Linked DNA regions of Caenorhabditis elegans. The protein of the gene in region 2 interacts with the protein of the main gene of each other region in a pairwise test. Each region holds a gene or a part of one and is shown on either strand. Other genes may lie near its edges.

Region 1 (5,216 bases), on a different chromosome or scaffold from region 2:
GCTATGAGTTTTCGCTATATTTTGCGCGTCAAATATGTTGCGCAGTACGATTTCTCAAAATTTTGTGTTACCGTAATAATTAGTGTTTTTTTCTCAAAAAATATCAATATTTCAGCTGGGAACGAATAAAGTTCTATTTCAAAGTGGAGTACGTCTTTATGTTGGTCTTCCAAATTGCAAACTTTGTCAATTTTATCATTATTTTCACCTGATAAGCCGCCGCTGTCGAATAAACTTTTTTGATAAGACCACCGAATTCTGAATGTTTTCCCACATAATTTACACGATTTATTGATTTTTTCTCCGATTTTCTGGGCCTAAATTCGTATAAATATTGTTTCCAAAAACCTTTTTATTTATCATGTGACCAGCTTTATTGGATGTGTGTGGCAGCGAGACAGCGCGCGTTTCGCAGAGACGCAGAGATTCGAGAGTTCAATGGAGCGCGCTTTCACCCTTTTGTTTTTATCATTTTCAATGTTGATTTTGCCCATTTTTACCTGTTTGTTCTTTGTATTTTCGTTTTTTTAAAGGCAATTTGGAGTTCTAAAATGAATTTTAAAGATTTTTAAAAATTAAAATTCAATGAAAACGCAGAAAAAACATGAAAATTTAGCTGGAATACTTAATTCTCTCACTTTTTCCACATTTCATGCCATTTGAAAGTAATTTTGCGTTTTTGAACGCACTTTTTCGCTAAAATTAATTAAATGTTTTAAAATCCGCATTCAGGAAAGAATGCACTCATCAACCGTAATTTCCGCTAGAAAATTGAAAAATCCGGGTTTTTTTGCTGTTATTAGCTGAAAATAAGCCCAAAGTGGTTTATTTTGTTTAAAAATATAATTTACGACTGCTGAAACACGGAAAAGATAGCAAAATTTAAAGATTTTAGCCGAAATTTTTTTTTTTCGATTTTTGAACCGCCATAAAAAATTTGTGGGGTTTTTGAAAAATCTAATTACGAAATTCTCCTTTAAAGATTGTGCAGTCGAATTTTTATTGCTTTATTTGATCCAAAATTGTCTGAAAAAGCCGAATTTCAAAATGAAACTTCTTGAAAACTTCTCAAAAACTGGCCTAAAATTAGTTAAAATTTGAAATTTGACTTGTCAGCGGCTGGGAGCTATTTTTTTTGAAATCACCGTCAAATTGTGGGTTTACAATTTAATTATCGTGCGTTTTCAACTCGATTTAGGTATTTTAAAGTCGATGAACGGCGAGATTTTTTTAAAAAATTTCACCAAATCTCGCTTTAAAATACCTAAATCGAGTCGAAAACGCAATTACATTGTATACTCAAAATTTGACGGTGATTTCAAAAAAAATGGTTTCAGCCGCTGACAAGTCAAATTTCAAATTTTAACTAATTTTAGGCCATTTTTTGAGCCGTCATAAATTTTTTTGAGAAGTTTTCAAGAAGTTTCATTTTGAAATTCGGCTTTTTCAGACAATTTTGAGTCTAATCAAGCAATAAAAATTCGACTAAATACGCCACCTTTAAATAGTGATTTTTTTTTCAATTTTGAGCGATTTTTACTACTCGTAAATGGATTTAATTTCTATTTTCCCCCTAAATACCTTCAATTTTTCCAGATTCATCTCTAAACATGGATGGTATTTTCCGCCTATTCTGTGGATGCTGCGGAATACAAGGCGAAGAAGAGCCGCCATACTCACAGCTCCGCCACGATTCGGTCACCCCGATTCGTGATCCACCACTCCAGCAGGGAAATCGCCAGGCGACGAATGGAGCACATCAGCATAATCCTCTTCAGCATCAAGGATTCGTGAATCCGGTTCACGAATAGTATGTTTTATCCGGCCAAAATCGTTGCAACTCTTGAGAAAGTTACAGTAATTACGACGCCACCGATGGGCCGAACATGTATCCATCGGACCATCATGGAATGCATTCGGACTCGGCGTCACCACCATCCGGTGATTTTGATGAGGAGATCGTTGAGGATGAGGGCCGTGAAAAGGAGCAGCTTGACAATATTGTCGAGAGCACGCAGCACGTATGGAATTTTTTTTCCCGGCAAATGCTCAAAACTGGCCAAATCCGGAGTTTTAAGCTAGAATTTGACCTGTTTTCGGAAATTTTCAGTATGGTTCATCACGAAAATCAGTAGTTTTGGGCGTTTTGATGTTGGAAAATTGAAAAAAAAAGAAAATCATAAATTTCTTGATAATCCAATTTTTGATCTAAAATTGATATACTTGATATAACGTAGAAAAAAAGTTGTTCTATCTAAAAAATAACGTTAATTTTTGTTGAAAAGCTTGAAAAATACCTCAAATCGGCACTATTTTAGGTCTTTTCAAGCGTTTCAACAAAAATTATCGTTATTTTTGGATCGAACAACCTGTTTTCCGCATTTCTATATCAATTTTAGAACAAAAAATTGGATTATCATGTCGAAATCAGCCATTTTTGTGCAGTTCCTGGAAAAAGCTGCATAACCGAATATATGTGAAAAATATATAATCTTCCAAAATTAAAACGCCTAAACCTACCGAAATTCGTAATGAACCATACTGAACGTACTGAAAATTTCTCAAAAAAAGCCATATTGGTTCAAAATTTCGAAAAAAAACGTCAAATTCTAGCTTAAAACTCCAATTTTGGTCACTTTTTTCGTCTCGCAGCAGTCCGAAGTTGACTTTTTTTTAGAAATCCCGTTATTTCATTGATTAAAGTTAATTTTATTAATTTTTCAGCTTAATCAACATAATATATATATATTTCAAAAAAGTAAACTTCGGACTGTTGCGACACGGAAAAGTGGCCAAAATTGGACTTTTAAGCTAGAATTGGCCATTTTTCCGAAATTTTCACCACAAAATTTGGTAGCTCTGGCCGTTTTGGGTCTAAATAACCAAAAAAAAACCTAACAATAATTAATTTTAAAAATCAATATTACAGAGCATCATCGCTGTTGGACAAACCGACGTTGATGGTGTTATCATGCCGGATACACAATACCGCGAGAAGGCATATCGGGCGAAAGTTCAAAAGATGGCGTGTGCTCCACCGTCGGTTATTCATTACACTACAAGTAACTCTGCAGATTTTCAGAAAAAAAACATTATTTTTTCAATTTTCAGTTTATGATTTCGAGTTTGAGCCGACACAGACGCCGATCCAAGTTCCCATCAGATATGACGAGATATCTGCAACAATAGAGCCGTCGCCAATCGAGCGGATGCCATTCTCGGCTCCGGATTTCAATCAGTTGAAGCTTGCAAGAACTATGGGCGCCAAGAATCCACAATTCCTTGTCGAGCATCCAGATCTGAAGTCTGCTGGAAGATCTCAGGGAATCACCAGTTCCATGAAGGCGAAGGTTATTATTTTTGTATGCTCTGCCGAGCATAAAAAAGGCCTAAAAATGAAGTGAAACTCCTGCGTAGACTTGCGTGGTCTTGCATAGAAATCTAGGATTCTTGCCAGAATCTTGCGTAGCTTTTCGGCCGGAAGTTTTCAGTTTTGGGCAAATTGCATGTTTTCCGATTTGCCGGAAAATTTAATTTTTGCCAAATTGCCGTTTTGCCGGAAATTTTTTTTTTTGGTAAATTGCTGTTTTGCCGGAAATTTTCTTTTTTCGTAAATTGCCGGTTTACCAATTTGCCAGAAATTCTCATTTTCGGTAAGTTTCCGATTTGCCGGAAATGTTCATTTTCGGCAAATAGATGTTTTGCCAATTTCCCAGAAATTTTCATTTTCGGCAAACTGCCGATTTGCCAGAAATTTTCATTTTTGCCAAATTGCTGTTTGTCGATTTACCGGAAATTTTCATTTTTGGCAAGTTGCCGGTTTGCCAGAAATTTTCATTTTTGGCAAATTGTCGATTTGCCGGAAATTTTCATTTCTGGCAAATTGCCGATTTGCCGGTTGGCCGGAAACTGTCATTTACGGCAGGTTGCCGATTTGCCGGAAATGTTCATTTTTGGCAAATTATCGATTTTCCGGACTTTTTTCATTTTTGGCAATTGCCAGAAATTATCAATTTTGAAAAATTGCCGATTTGCGGGAAATTTTCATTTTTGGCGAATTGCCGGTTTGTCAATTTGCCATATATTCTTATTTTCGGCAAATTGTCATTTGGAAAATTGCCAGTTTGCCAATTTGCCGGAAATTTTCATTTTTGGCAAATTGCCGATTTGCCGGAAATTTTATTTTCTTTCCATTTTCACGGATCGGCAATTCAATTTCAAAAGTACAAGTTTTCATAATTTAGATTTAAAATTTTAAAAAATTTCCAGGTAACTCAAGTCCTCGACGAAGTTCACCAAGGTGTCGTTGGAGTTGAAGTGGAACCACGCGATCTGATTGTCAGCATGGATTTCTGAATATCTGACCAACTTCCCCATCTCTCGTGTGATGATGATAACCCGATAACTTATCAAAAATGAATACAAGTACCCCCGCCCAAAAAATTAATTTTTTCCAATTTCCAGTGTTTCGTGTATCTTATCGTTATTCTTTTCCCAGTCTCTCGCGTCGCCCAAACATTTTTTTCCAATTTTCACCAAAAATTTAAATTTTTTTCTTCCCCCGTTTTTCTATGTATGCTATGTTAGTTCCGCCCGTCCCCAAGCCCAAGCCAATCCAAGAGAACTTGTCAAAAATTGCAACAAAAAAAATGACTTCTTATTGAAATTCAATTGTATATATATATATAGGAAATATGTACCAGTAGATTCGGGGAGTTTATGGTTTTTTTGTGAAGAGGGGAGAAATTGTTTCAGATATGTCAAACGATATACGATTTTTGGCGGCGGCGGTGGTGACTATGCGAGGAAGTGATGATAGAGAACAGCTGGGAGCAGCAGCAACACGTGAACGATTTGGAGCAATTTTGGTGACGTGGCAGTCAAGGAGTCGCTATTGCAAAGATTTCCACGACATGCACAGTGAATTTCTTCGTATTCGTCGGATATCCATTTTTTGGAGCAACCGATTTGGATCTGGAAATTGAGATTTTGAAATTCTGGGCAGTGGAGCGCATTTGCTCTTCTCTTCTTTTTTTTCTGTGTCATTTTTGCCTTTTTAGGTTAAAAAATGCTTAAAATTACGTTTTTTTTCTAAAGCAAGTGCGCTCCAGTTAACTGAGCGATTCCGGGTGTCAGGTTGTCCCATAACGGTTTGATCTACAAAAAATGCGGGAATTTTTTCCGACGTCAGCACGTTCTTGAGGAATCAGTTAAGA
Region 2 (4,554 bases):
TTTTTAATATTAATGAGACTGAACCAGATGAATGGGTTTTTTGGGTAAGAATATATTGAATTATTTATTTTTTTCGAGTTTTCTACAGGAAAGCGTCTTCATTTCATCATTCTCATTTTTGTTCACAATCAATACACTGACCATGTTGTACAGTTCGATTCGATGGAATAATACGGCCTGGTGGCTGGCAACGGTATGTTATGCAAAATGTGAAAACGCGCTCCACGGCAATTGACAACGCCCGCCCCCAAACCATGGGTCTCGTTAGATATTTGTCGGCAAAACCGTAAATTCAAACTTTTTGACTTAATTCCGCCACTTTGGCGAAATAAGCAAAAATGAAAATAAAAACATTTGAATGTACGGATTCGCCTCCAAATACCTAACGAGACCCATGGTTTGGGGGCGGAGCGTTTTCAAATTGCCGTGGAGCGCGAAAGAAAATCAATTTCAGGTTGTCTGCGCTTTGGTGACAGTCTCGTTTCTTCTCAGTCTGTTACATGTGATGAAAAACCAAACGAAAGGTCATATTACTGTTAAACAGGAGGAGAATGTTGTGCGATTTAATACGCGGATGAACCGCCGACGGATTTGAATTTATATCAATAAATGTACAATTTGACAATTCATATAAATACTGATAATAAATACATTTAAGACACAAATAAAACGTAAGTAACTTAGAAGAAAGTGATCAGAGAACTGTGGGTTTACTATCAGATCGGATGGGGGACAAGTGGATGTAATTGAACCGAGTATATGTAAGTAATTGATTTAAATATATAACTATTCCGGGATGGATTTAGGAAGAGTAGTTGGATGAACCAATCGGGAATCAGATGATGAAGGAGTATCCGGAGATGGAGAATCCCATGAATCCGGTCTTGGTTCCGGTGATTCAGGTGGCTTAGTGGGATCATCAGTGAGAAGAGCCTTCTCCATATATTTCCTGGATATTGGCAAAGCCGTAAAAACTTGTCCGGGTCCGTTACGAAGAGGTTTTGAAGTATCACTTGTGACAGCGTCAAATGCGGGCGTACGAAGTGGAGTTTTGATAGCATCCGCGTGGGTTTCAAGACTGAAGTGAGAGTAATAGCGAACGAAGTCACTTATAGTTGTCAGGTAGACATTGCTGTGCTCGAATCCCCATCCTTCTTCGTTTTGTTCGATTAGACAATGTGAGACACGTTCTCCGTGAAGTACACTCAATACGAGCTTATCACCCTGAAAAATATTCAATTCAATTCAAAAATTAGCGTGAATGAGGATGAAAAGTTATTCTTCTGATAAAATCATAAACTAACATGAGAAGAGGATCCTCGAATCAAGAAAATACCATCTTGTGGCTCTCTTTTCAATCCAACAGCCTTGTCAAGTTGAGCGATCCGATAGCGAGCATGAATCAGAGCATTCGCAGCATTTTCCTTAGAAGTTCCACACATCAAATATTGTGCCGGTGTCCACTTCAATTCCATATCGACAAGAAGTTGAGTGACTTTCGTTGGCTCACTGTTTATCATTTCCGCTCCAGCATCAAGCATTGCAGCCATTCTCGAACAAAGTGCTGGTTCCATTTTATCATAGACTGCACTACGAAGTTCCATAAGCTTGCAGAGTCGTGTTTTTGAATTGGATCTTTTCATCGCGATTTCATCCAAAATTCCGGAGAGCGTCTTTTTCTTATCCTTTGATGACGTCAGTTCAGTGTTTATTCGTCGAATACTTTCTTCCACAAACTGCAAAATAAAAAAGATAAAATTCAAAACTATAATGGTTAAAAATTGAGGATTTGCTCTAAAATCATTTTTAAAAAACCGAGAAAAAAATTGAGCAAAAATTAATAATCCAGCTTTGAAAATATTGAGTTTTGGCTAAATAACAATTTTAAATTGAACTTCTTTTTTTTGCTTTAGAATTGTTTTTTTTTGGTTTTGGATGTTTTTTTTCTTCAAAAAACGCTTACTGTCTTATTATTTGCAAATGCTCCTTTGAGCATTTCACTTGTTGTCTGCGATCCCTGTATTTGTGTAACGACGTCTGTTTCAGCTTCTAACAAATTATTCAGTTTTCCAAGTTTAATCTCATTGTCCCGAACTGATTGATTCAAAGCATGATAGAGACTTTCAGCTCGTTCCATTTCTTGATGAGCTGAATCATATAGCTTGGCTCCTCTCTCAAATGCCAAATGTACTGCTCTCAAATTTTCCATTTCCAAGCGTTCTCTCCAATCTAAAAAAAGCATTAAATTTACTAATTTTTATTTTTTTCAATCACTCAGACGCGAAATTTTGCCACTTTCGCGATAAAAATATGGTACGAGGTCTTGAAACGACAAGAGAAATTCCGCAGCAATTAAAGTTTGAAATTACAGTATTTTTAAATTTAGCGTTTGCGTTATAAAATAATTTACCATGATCATTTTTTGCACTGAGAATCATACGCTGCTGAAGTTGCCCCTTCTTGAAAAATGGTTTTCCATTTTGAGAGTTACGACGAACAGAAACTGGATATAAAAGACGAACATCAAGTGCATCATTGAAAATATTGAGAGAAATATTTCGATGAAATTCAATTAATCTGACAACAGAATCGTGAGTTAATGAATCTGTATTGAATCCGCATTTTCCATCTTTAACAACGATTCGGAGAAGTTTCACTTGGGCGGCAAATCTGAAAAAAGGACTATTAATATTGAATACTAATTTTGAAAAACCCACTTCACAGAAAGTGTATAATCTCCAGGTGTACTAGCATTTCTCACAATAAATGATCCATCAGGTTGATCAGAAAGTGCTTTCGAAACTGCAGATCTATCAGCATCAGCCCAGTACCATCCTTGTTCCATAAGACTATGAGTGACTCCATGAGGAGTTCCAGGTGTTGTGCTCATTCTGAATCCTTATATATATATATATATATATAATTAACGGAGGAGAAGAATCTGTGGTGTTTTTGCCGAAGTAGACTAAATCTGGCACAAGACCAAGCCGAGACCAAAAAGCAAAGCATTGAAATTTGTGAAAACACCAAAAAAAACCAACAAAAAAAGTATGTATAACATGGTCTGTAGACCAATGGAAATATCAACGAGAAAAAAAATTCGAAGAATGCAAATAATTAAATAATTTTATTTGAAATATTTACACCCATAAATACTAGCAATTCGTCCCGACTATTAAGTGCTCGCTTTTTTGAAAATTTTCATCATAAGAACCATTGATACGAAGCTCATAAAAATCAGAACAATGAGCATGACCTTGAAACAGTCATAACCACATTTGTAGGCGTGACGCTCAACTCGCTCACTTTGAATCTGGAAATTTTAAGACTATTATTTGAAGTTTATATAGTGAAGAAATTACCCCGAGAGCTGTTTTATTATCATCGACTTCTTTCGCCATTAATATTGCTCTTTCTGTATCTTCTTTAATCACATCTCCAGCAGCCGACATCATCGTTTTGAATGATCTCGCCATAGTGGCCAAACTATTTGCTAGCTCCTCCTCGACAAGCTCATTTTTCATGAATTCCTGATCTTCTATAAAATTTGACGAATTTTGAACAATCATTGGATACTAATTTTTACCAGATGTGTCTTGTGCTCTATGTTTATTAGATGAAAGCAACTGCTTCCGAAGATCTGATCGATAGATGGATCGTTGAGTAGCTCGGAGTCCAGCTGCGGATTCTTTTTCAAAATCGTAACTTTCCGCCTCGTTATCTGCAATATAAACATTAAAATGAAATATTGAATAATTCAAAAACCATTCTTGGAGTCTGCAACAGTTACTTGGACATCGGGAAATACACGTGGAATTTTTTCAATCACTTTCAGGCGCTCCTCGGCTGACGACTGGAAAACTTACTGACAATTTCATAACAGTTGCGAAATTCACAAAATATTTAAAGCTGTTCAACTTGTTTTCTTTACTTAAATCTAAATTGAAAAGAGGGACATAAAATCTACGGAACATTTGCATAATATTTTAGGATTAAATTTTTAATTGAAACAAATCAAACAAATTCAAATTAAGTTTAGAAATTATGTAAAAATTTGTATCTTTAAAGCAAAATTACAAGATCGAATTTGCTTGTCTAAAATATCTACAAACCTTGCTTTCAGCTTCAGCGAGTAATTTCAGTTGCAAGACTTCCTGTCGGTACTCGTGGAGAATATCATTTGTGGTTCTGGAAAAGTAAAACTATAAATATTAAAAAATGTATTTTGAAAAACTCACTCATCGTTTTGAAGTGTATAAATCATTTTATTGAGAATCTTTGTAGCTGCAGAAACCTGAAATAAGAAAAATAATTAATTAAACAGAACTTAAAATGTGATACTTGCTTTCCAAACGTTTGCTGACATATCCTCTTTTGTCAAGCGCTTTGTTCGCTCGAGAAGTCGTAGAAATTTCAGCTCATTTTCAGAAATATACGCCATTTCATTGATGTTTTGACAAAATTAGATAAAAAAATAAAAATAAACGTTGACAACTTGAAAACAAATAAGTTCGGCCACGGCCGAGAAATACAAAAATGCAAATGCGCTCATGC
Region 3 (7,217 bases), on a different chromosome or scaffold from region 2:
AGAATGAATGAATAAAATTCGATAAAAAGCTAGAAAACGTGTATTGTGCAATCCAAAGCTTAAGTTTAGTATGATAGTGATATAACAGTTTTAATACTGAATACAAAAAAAATGATTAAATGCAGCAAAAAATTAAGAAGAAAACACAGTCCTTGCAAAACATTTTCAACAGAAAACACAGTTTTTGCAGACAAAATCGAGCAGAAAACACAGTTGTTCGTGACAATAGGGTAGTATTAAAGTGATTGATTGAAACAGAAAAATGTATTTAGAGTCAATTTATCCGTTGTTTAACATAATTTGCATCAAAACGTATTAACTAGCAATTTTTACAAATGTGAGTTTCTGGATTAAACTGTATTGTAGCTATCCACACATCTTTTCTTTCATATATCCATGCTATTGGAATTAATCTTATTTATTCTGTCTGAAATTAAAAATATGTTTGACACGTTTTTTGTTGAAAACTGTATTTCAAAAAACGAGGGCGTATGTGTAATACCGCACCAAACAAAGGATATGATCATTCCAAGGAATCAGGATCAAAGCTAGAAAATGTTAAACAATTTATAACCAACATAGGCTTCTGTTCAAATATTTTTAAAAAATAAACACTGCCTCTGAAAAGAGGCAAATAAATAAAACAATGAAAACAGCTACAAAAAAACAAACAACTATAAAATTTTTAAATGAAATAATTAATCGGATGGTGTCTCCACTTGAATTCCTTGTTTTTGTACAAGTCTCCAGTATATACTTCTTTTCCTTAATAGTTCTTCATGTGTTCCTTGTTCTGCAACTTTTCCGTTTTTCAGAACAGCAATGGAATCTGCATTGACTACTGTTGATAGCCGATGTGCAACAACAACAGTGGATAGTCTCTCACTTGCAGTGTCAAGAGCATTTTGAACTACTTTTTCACTGTCACTGTCCAGAGCACTAGTCGCTTCATCCAATAGAAGAACTTTTGGATTTCTCAGGATTGCTCGAGCAATCGCAATCCTTTGTTTTTGACCACCGGATAACTGAGCTCCACGTTCACCAACAAGTGTGTCCAGACCCTGTAAAGAAATAGTTTATGTAAGTTGAGCACAGTTGAAACTAGCCTGTGGGAACTGAAATACAAAGTTGAACGCATTTGCCGTTTGCAAAGCCTTTTCAAGTTCTAACTGTGGCACGGATCTTGTGAGCCCATACAAAAGGTTCTCTCTGATTGAACAGTTGAACAGAGTTGGCTCTTGTGATACCAGAGCTAAATTAGATCGAAGGTGGTTCAAATTGATATCCTCGACGTTTTCGCTGTCAATTTTCTGAAGTGAACTAGGAATTAAAAGTTCTACACGTGCGCATCAATGCTTACGACTTCTCCATCAACTGCGTGATAGAACCTCTCTAGCAATGAAATGATTGTCGACTTTCCACAACCACTTGGACCAACAAGAGCAAGGGTTTTTCCTGGGTCTACTTTCAGATTAACACCATTCAATATCATACGATCCGGCCGTTGATCATAATGAAATTGAACATTCTCTCCAATAATTTCTCCCTTTTCAATATTTTTCTTTCCATCACTGGAACTGAATGGCATCGTAGCTGGATATGTGAACAAATGGAATATTAATCCAGCTGCATGAACTGCTTTTTTGTAATCTGGGAGATATGCAGCTGCAGATCCAGCCATATTAGCTGTCATGGAAAGAGTCATTAAAACAAGATAAGTATCCATTGGAGCTACTTCTTTCCGTAAAGCTAAATATGTTCCAAATTTGAAAGAAACCGAGTACACAAACAAGAAACAACTAAGAGAGAGACCGTTTGCAGCACCCTGAACGATATTGGTTTGCTTTGTTTCAAAAAAAACACGTCAAAACTTACTTGAATAATGGCTCTTTTGAAATAAGATTTGTGAATTTTTTGTAGATGTTCAGATATTAAAGACATTATTTTATCTTCCAAATTAAGTGCTCGAACTGTTCTCACATTTTCCAACGCTTCAATCGCAGTCTAAACATTTGCATATAAAACCCGTCAGGTTCTATCGAACTTACTCTGTTACTATTTTCAAAGGCGATTGTATCTTCTTGGATAGCGGTTTCGGTGGCTGCTTCGTAACAATATTCAGCCAGGTACAACAATGGGAAAAACATCAATACCTGAAACAATAAGTTAGTAGCACAACTCTTTTGTAATGTTGTCGTTTATCAATCTCCGACTAACCTCTAGAGTCATTTTCCAACAGTACAAGGAAGCAGTTGTAATTGCGATTGAAATTGCTACCACAGTCATGATGACACATCCCAGCCGATCATCTACTGCTGCCTTGACATTAGAAGAATCCGTATTCAATCTGTTAGACAATCGAGTTGCAGAGTGATTGGGATCATCGTAAAATGCGCATGGAAGTGACAACATATGACTGAACGACTTGATGCGGAGTCGTGTGGATAATTGTTCAGAAACTTTTCCAAAGTAGTAATATTGACAATATAATGTAAGTGGACGGAACACAGCCAGAAACATGAAAGATAGCGCCCAAAGGTGACTGTAGTAGAGCATGTCTTCACCAATCATCGCGAACCCCTAACATTTAAAACAATGATAAAAGTGAATCACAAAGCGAACTCACTTCATATGTTCGTACTATCAATTGAGCCAGTATAGGATAGCTAACTCCTTGTATGGCACTTCCAAAAACTGCAATAAATAAGAAACAGTAGTCTGGTCGACATTGCTTCACAATTTCTCTGAGATTTGATTTCTTTGCTCCTTCTTTGCTGAGTTCATCTAATATTCGTTCCATATCATCGTCATGAACACCTGCGTCATTACTTGTACTTCTTTGAATTGCATAACTATGTAATGGTGATAACTCTTGTGATAGTTGTCTTGCAGCAAGTGGTGGAAGCTCTTCTAAACCCAAACAATTTTAGAAATTGAATGATGTAGCAGATATTTCTTACCATGGTCATCGTGAGATTCTAACAATTGGGCTTGAACTAGATCATTGTACACACCTCGTTTCGCAATTAGCTCATCATGATTCCCAACTTCAACAATCTGTAAAATTATGTTTCTAGACTTTTGAATTGTTGAATCACTCACTCTATGTCTAATGAAAAATCTGTAAACTTCATTGTTCCTAATTGTGTTTTTGAGAAAGCGCAACCCTGAGGTTAACTTTTTTTTAGAGCGATCACTATTTCTCTGTTACCTTTTAAAGAACCCCTGGTACACCGGAATTCCCCTTCTTGGCGTTCAGAAACTAACAGTGATCAAATTATTTATCAAATTACTCACCTCTCCTTTTTGCATCACAATAATTTTACTGGCATTTCTGATTGTTGATAATCGATGTGCCACAACTATAGTTGTTCTTCCTTGCGACGCCTGTATACACGTTTATACTTTCAGATATTAGTATGTAAACTAACGTTTTCAAGTGCTTTCTGTACAACTTGCTCACTTTCATTATCCAATGCACTGGTTGCCTCATCGAGAAGAAGAATTTTTGGATTTCGAACCAACGTTCGTGCAATTGCGATTCTTTGCTTTTGTCCTCCAGAAAGCTGTGTACCTCTCTCGCCAACTATTGTTTTGATCCCTTTTGGAAAAGAGCACACAAAATCATAAGCATTTGCTTTTCTTAAGGCTCCATAGATTTCCGGTAAAGACACATTTGGGTTTCCAAATCTAATATTTTCCTCTATCGTAGTATTAAAAAGTACTGGTTCTTGGGAAACGACTCCAATCACTCGACGAAGTCTTTTGATATTCATATCGTTCAAATCCATTCCATCAATAAATATATTTCCAGAATCAATATTGTAGTAATGAAGGAGTAACTGCACTACAGTACTTTTACCACTTCCACTAGCACCAACTAAAGCGATACATTCTCCATTTTGAACATCAAACGAGATTCCTTTCAAAACTTGTGCATCTGGTCGAGTTGGGTACGAGAATTTTACATTTTTGAAAGAAATATTTCCATTAACTTCCACTTCCACGTCGTAGTCTGTCTCGTCTTTTTCGATAACGTTGTCATCCTAAATCAAAATTGGTAAATTATTGTTTGCACTTTCCTATCAAACTCACTTTAATCAGCATCTCTGCAATGGGTGCTGTGGAAGAAATTGCACCAGCTAGGCGGGAGATATGAGGCAGTGCTTCACTAAGACAGAAGGCTCCAAACAACATATAGTGGAAAAGCTTCAAAAAACTATTCAGATGTAAGTATTGAATGAAATCATACCCTAACAACGACCGCTGTTTCCAGTGTACCAGAATAAATCATAGTTGCTCCAACATAGAGAACAACAGTGTTCAAGCTGTTACAGAAAAAGTAAGTGACACCTCTCGAAATGGAGTACATAAGAGCTCTACGAATACCATATTTTTCTCCAGCCTTCAGTTCTTCTGTATATCTGTGTTTAAAAATTCATTGGTTGTGACACTGATTGTGCTGCTACTATTTTTTAAACAACAGGCGAATACAATTTATTTGTTTTTTTTTTAATTTTTTCAAATGAAATCATAAGTTTCAATTGAAAAAATTTGCATTAAATTTTCTAACGTACAAACTGAGCTTTTTTCACGACAGTATGTGGTTATTTTGAACTTACCTTTCAATCTCAGTTTTCTGGCCATTCAAAGAACAAACTGTTTTGTATGCACCAAGTGTCTGGAAGGCTATGGACCCAGCGTTAGCATAATGCGTGTTCTGTTTTCCAGTTGTCTTCATTACACCTGCTGAGTTTATAAACCCAGAAAATGCAATTCCAAGTGAAAAAAAGATTCCATACGAAGCCAGACGCCAATCTGTATAAAATGCTAATGCAGTTCCAAGTGTAAAATCAGTAACAAATGCGATTATGAGTGCAATTTTCTCATTAAATACTTCTCGGAAACGTTCCAAGTTGCTGAAAGTATGACAACGTTTTAATTTTTTTTGTCAAGGTAAACTTACTCATTTAATACAGTGGACAAATGTCCAGTCGACACGCTATCAAAATACTGAGCATCTTTTTTTAATAAGCGTGATATATATTGTTTTCGAACGCGATATGTCGTGTTGTCTCCAACGTATTTCATGATAGCGTGCTTAAAATTTGGGCATAAATGGGGTTTGCTGTTGTCACTTTTTACCTGTAGAGATGCAAAAATAAAATACGCGCATCCGCATAAAAAGAAATGAAAGACGACCTGGTTCATTCCGCGCTCATACTCTTCATATGCTTTTTCGAGATCGGCAGGGTCTAAACAAGTTTATGCAATGTATTACAAATACTAATATATGTTATCATACCAATAGTTTTGTTGTTAATTGCATTTGTTATTGTTACCAGGACTTGAGAAACTTCTCCAAATGTGTAGCTCATAAACGGTTGGCAAAAACCCGTCATCAAAGAGAAAAGCACTCCAAGTAGAAACAAAAACTTTTCGAAACATGATGAGCATTTAAACTGGAATAAAAAACAAGTGAATAATGATGACTGTGCACTACATAAAACTCACAACAACACGAATAAAACTGCATATCTGTGATGGTTTCTTTTCATCTGATTGAGGCAAGAGAGGAGTACTGAAATTATTCGAATTTTCTTCCATTATTGACCATACTGTTAGTTATCTTCAATTGTGCCTCTTTATTGTTTCTGTTATTATATTAATATTTAGAAACAGACGAATGATGGAGGAAGAACAGAAAAAGATTAACTTATGGACTAGACTGAGACTGATAAAAACTAGTGTACTCGAGTTCATCATCAAATAGAAAAGGTTGACATTCTGGCCAATAGACAATACCCTTTCGTGCCGATTTTACAATTGGTGTCTTATTTCAGATTAGAAAATAGTTTTAAGAAACTGAAACGTAAGCTGTTGATGTATAGTGCAAGATCAAATAAACAACATTTGATCAGAAGCTGAAAAGTATATTGTATTGTACTAGCTTAAAAGTGGAGTAGCACTTGCGCGAAAAATGCTAAAAACTACTCATATGGTGCAAAAATTACTAAATATCATAATGAAACTCTTCAAAAAATTTCGGAATGTTTTTATTTACAGTCAAAATATGGAAATTAATCAGTTTTGGATAATCATAAAATTAGAAGTCGACCAAAACAAATTTTTCTACGATTGTTATACTCTAATTTTTTTTTTCTGATTATTTGTGTTAAAACATTCTGGGAGTTGGAACATGTGACATTGCTCTGGATTTTTTCAAAATTGCATATTTTATAAAAATTTGGAAATTTGTCAAAACTTTGATTGGAAATTTTGAAAATTTAAAAATTTTTGAAGTGTTTTATTATGATATTAAATCGTTTTAAATGATTATGAGTTAATTTATGAAAAATATTCACTGGCGCTTCTCCACCTTTAAGCTGAAGTGGCTTCAACAATTTATTCAAAGTCTGGTTCAAAAGTGACTGATAATGAAAAATTAAATTGTTTGAAAGAAAATACTCAGATTACGATTTTGTACTCAAAAATAAACAGAAATTTATATACAGTTTGATGAGTATTTATATCTAACAGTTGTCATTTACTCCGGTAAGTTACATTGTTTTTGGCAAATGTAAATAACTTGCTACAAATATTATTGTTTTTTATCATTCTAATATTCGAAATGAAACGCAAGATGAAGAAAAAAAACGAGAGACCAGCATGAAGAACAGACGCAGAATGAGAAAGACTAGTGTCCTCTTTTGCAGCATTGACTTGATAAATGTGGAGACCTTTTGGTAAACAAAACATTCGCAACTTACTTGTCCATCTTCCAATTAATGTATTGTTTTAGATAAGCAGAAGAGTAGGAAGAAAAATCTGAAATTACTACTTTTATGTATTGCTCAAGTATTGGATGGTATTGCGCAATACTACTCAATTCTGATGCAGACTAACGGCAGTGGACAAATATCGACCCGCCTCTTGCATTAGAACATTTGTTTTACAGATAATTGTTTGAGAAAACGTCACTTCGTGTGAGATCAAATGAACAAAGTTTGATAAGAAACTAGAATGTATGTGTTGTACTAGCAGAAATTTAAATTATGTTTGAAATTGTGATAAAAAATTGTAAGTATATACAATGACTGACTACACAGGAAAGGCATAATAATAAAGAAGAAAAACATTTTATTTGTATACTGTAGAAAATAAAAAAATTGAAATGAAGTTCTGTAAAAAGTTTTTTTGTGATTACGTTCATCCAA

Evidence for each region. The genes of interacting proteins can lie anywhere in the genome.
Region 1: the proteins of aap-1 (region 2) and Y45G5AL.1 interact in a two-hybrid assay, tested with the Caenorhabditis elegans proteins (one large-scale study listed by BioGRID).
Region 3: the proteins of aap-1 (region 2) and pgp-6 interact in a two-hybrid assay, tested with the Caenorhabditis elegans proteins (one large-scale study listed by BioGRID).

What each region holds. Positions count from the first base shown.
Region 1 is NC_003283.11:4,142,909-4,148,124, forward strand, and holds Y45G5AL.1 (Late endosomal/lysosomal adaptor and MAPK and MTOR activator 1), read left to right. Parts: upstream 1-1,596; 5' UTR 1,597-1,610; coding exon 1,611-1,810; intron 1,811-1,852; coding exon 1,853-2,021; intron 2,022-2,929; coding exon 2,930-3,062; intron 3,063-3,111; coding exon 3,112-3,350; intron 3,351-4,269; coding exon 4,270-4,356; 3' UTR 4,357-4,663; downstream 4,664-5,216. Other genes in the region: lgc-29 (Neurotransmitter-gated ion-channel ligand-binding domain-containing protein), read left to right, coding at 116-212; Y45G5AM.6 (Activin_recp domain-containing protein), read right to left, coding at 4,798-4,974.
Region 2 is NC_003279.8:5,106,180-5,110,733, reverse strand, and holds aap-1 (SH2 domain-containing protein), read right to left. Parts: upstream 2,892-4,554; 5' UTR 2,891-2,891; coding exon 2,718-2,890; intron 2,671-2,717; coding exon 2,411-2,670; intron 2,230-2,410; coding exon 1,964-2,229; intron 1,737-1,963; coding exon 1,305-1,736; intron 1,225-1,304; coding exon 787-1,224; 3' UTR 596-786; downstream 1-595. Other genes in the region: Y110A7A.21 (MARVEL domain-containing protein), read left to right, coding at 1-44, 89-193, 455-595; use-1 (Vesicle transport protein USE1), read right to left, coding at 3,176-3,313, 3,363-3,538, 3,587-3,721, 3,766-3,853, 4,113-4,188, 4,239-4,294, 4,346-4,441.
Region 3 is NC_003284.9:10,870,648-10,877,864, forward strand, and holds pgp-6 (P-GlycoProtein related), read right to left. Parts: upstream 5,655-7,217; 5' UTR 5,608-5,654; coding exon 5,515-5,607; intron 5,463-5,514; coding exon 5,306-5,462; intron 5,256-5,305; coding exon 5,146-5,255; intron 5,101-5,145; coding exon 4,967-5,100; intron 4,920-4,966; coding exon 4,623-4,919; intron 4,425-4,622; coding exon 4,253-4,424; intron 4,210-4,252; coding exon 4,096-4,209; intron 4,047-4,095; coding exon 3,432-4,046; intron 3,388-3,431; coding exon 3,298-3,387; intron 3,058-3,297; coding exon 2,961-3,057; intron 2,911-2,960; coding exon 2,627-2,910; intron 2,581-2,626; coding exon 2,218-2,580; intron 2,154-2,217; coding exon 2,049-2,153; intron 2,005-2,048; coding exon 1,876-2,004; intron 1,826-1,875; coding exon 1,361-1,825; intron 1,311-1,360; coding exon 1,107-1,310; intron 1,062-1,106; coding exon 699-1,061; 3' UTR 554-698; downstream 1-553.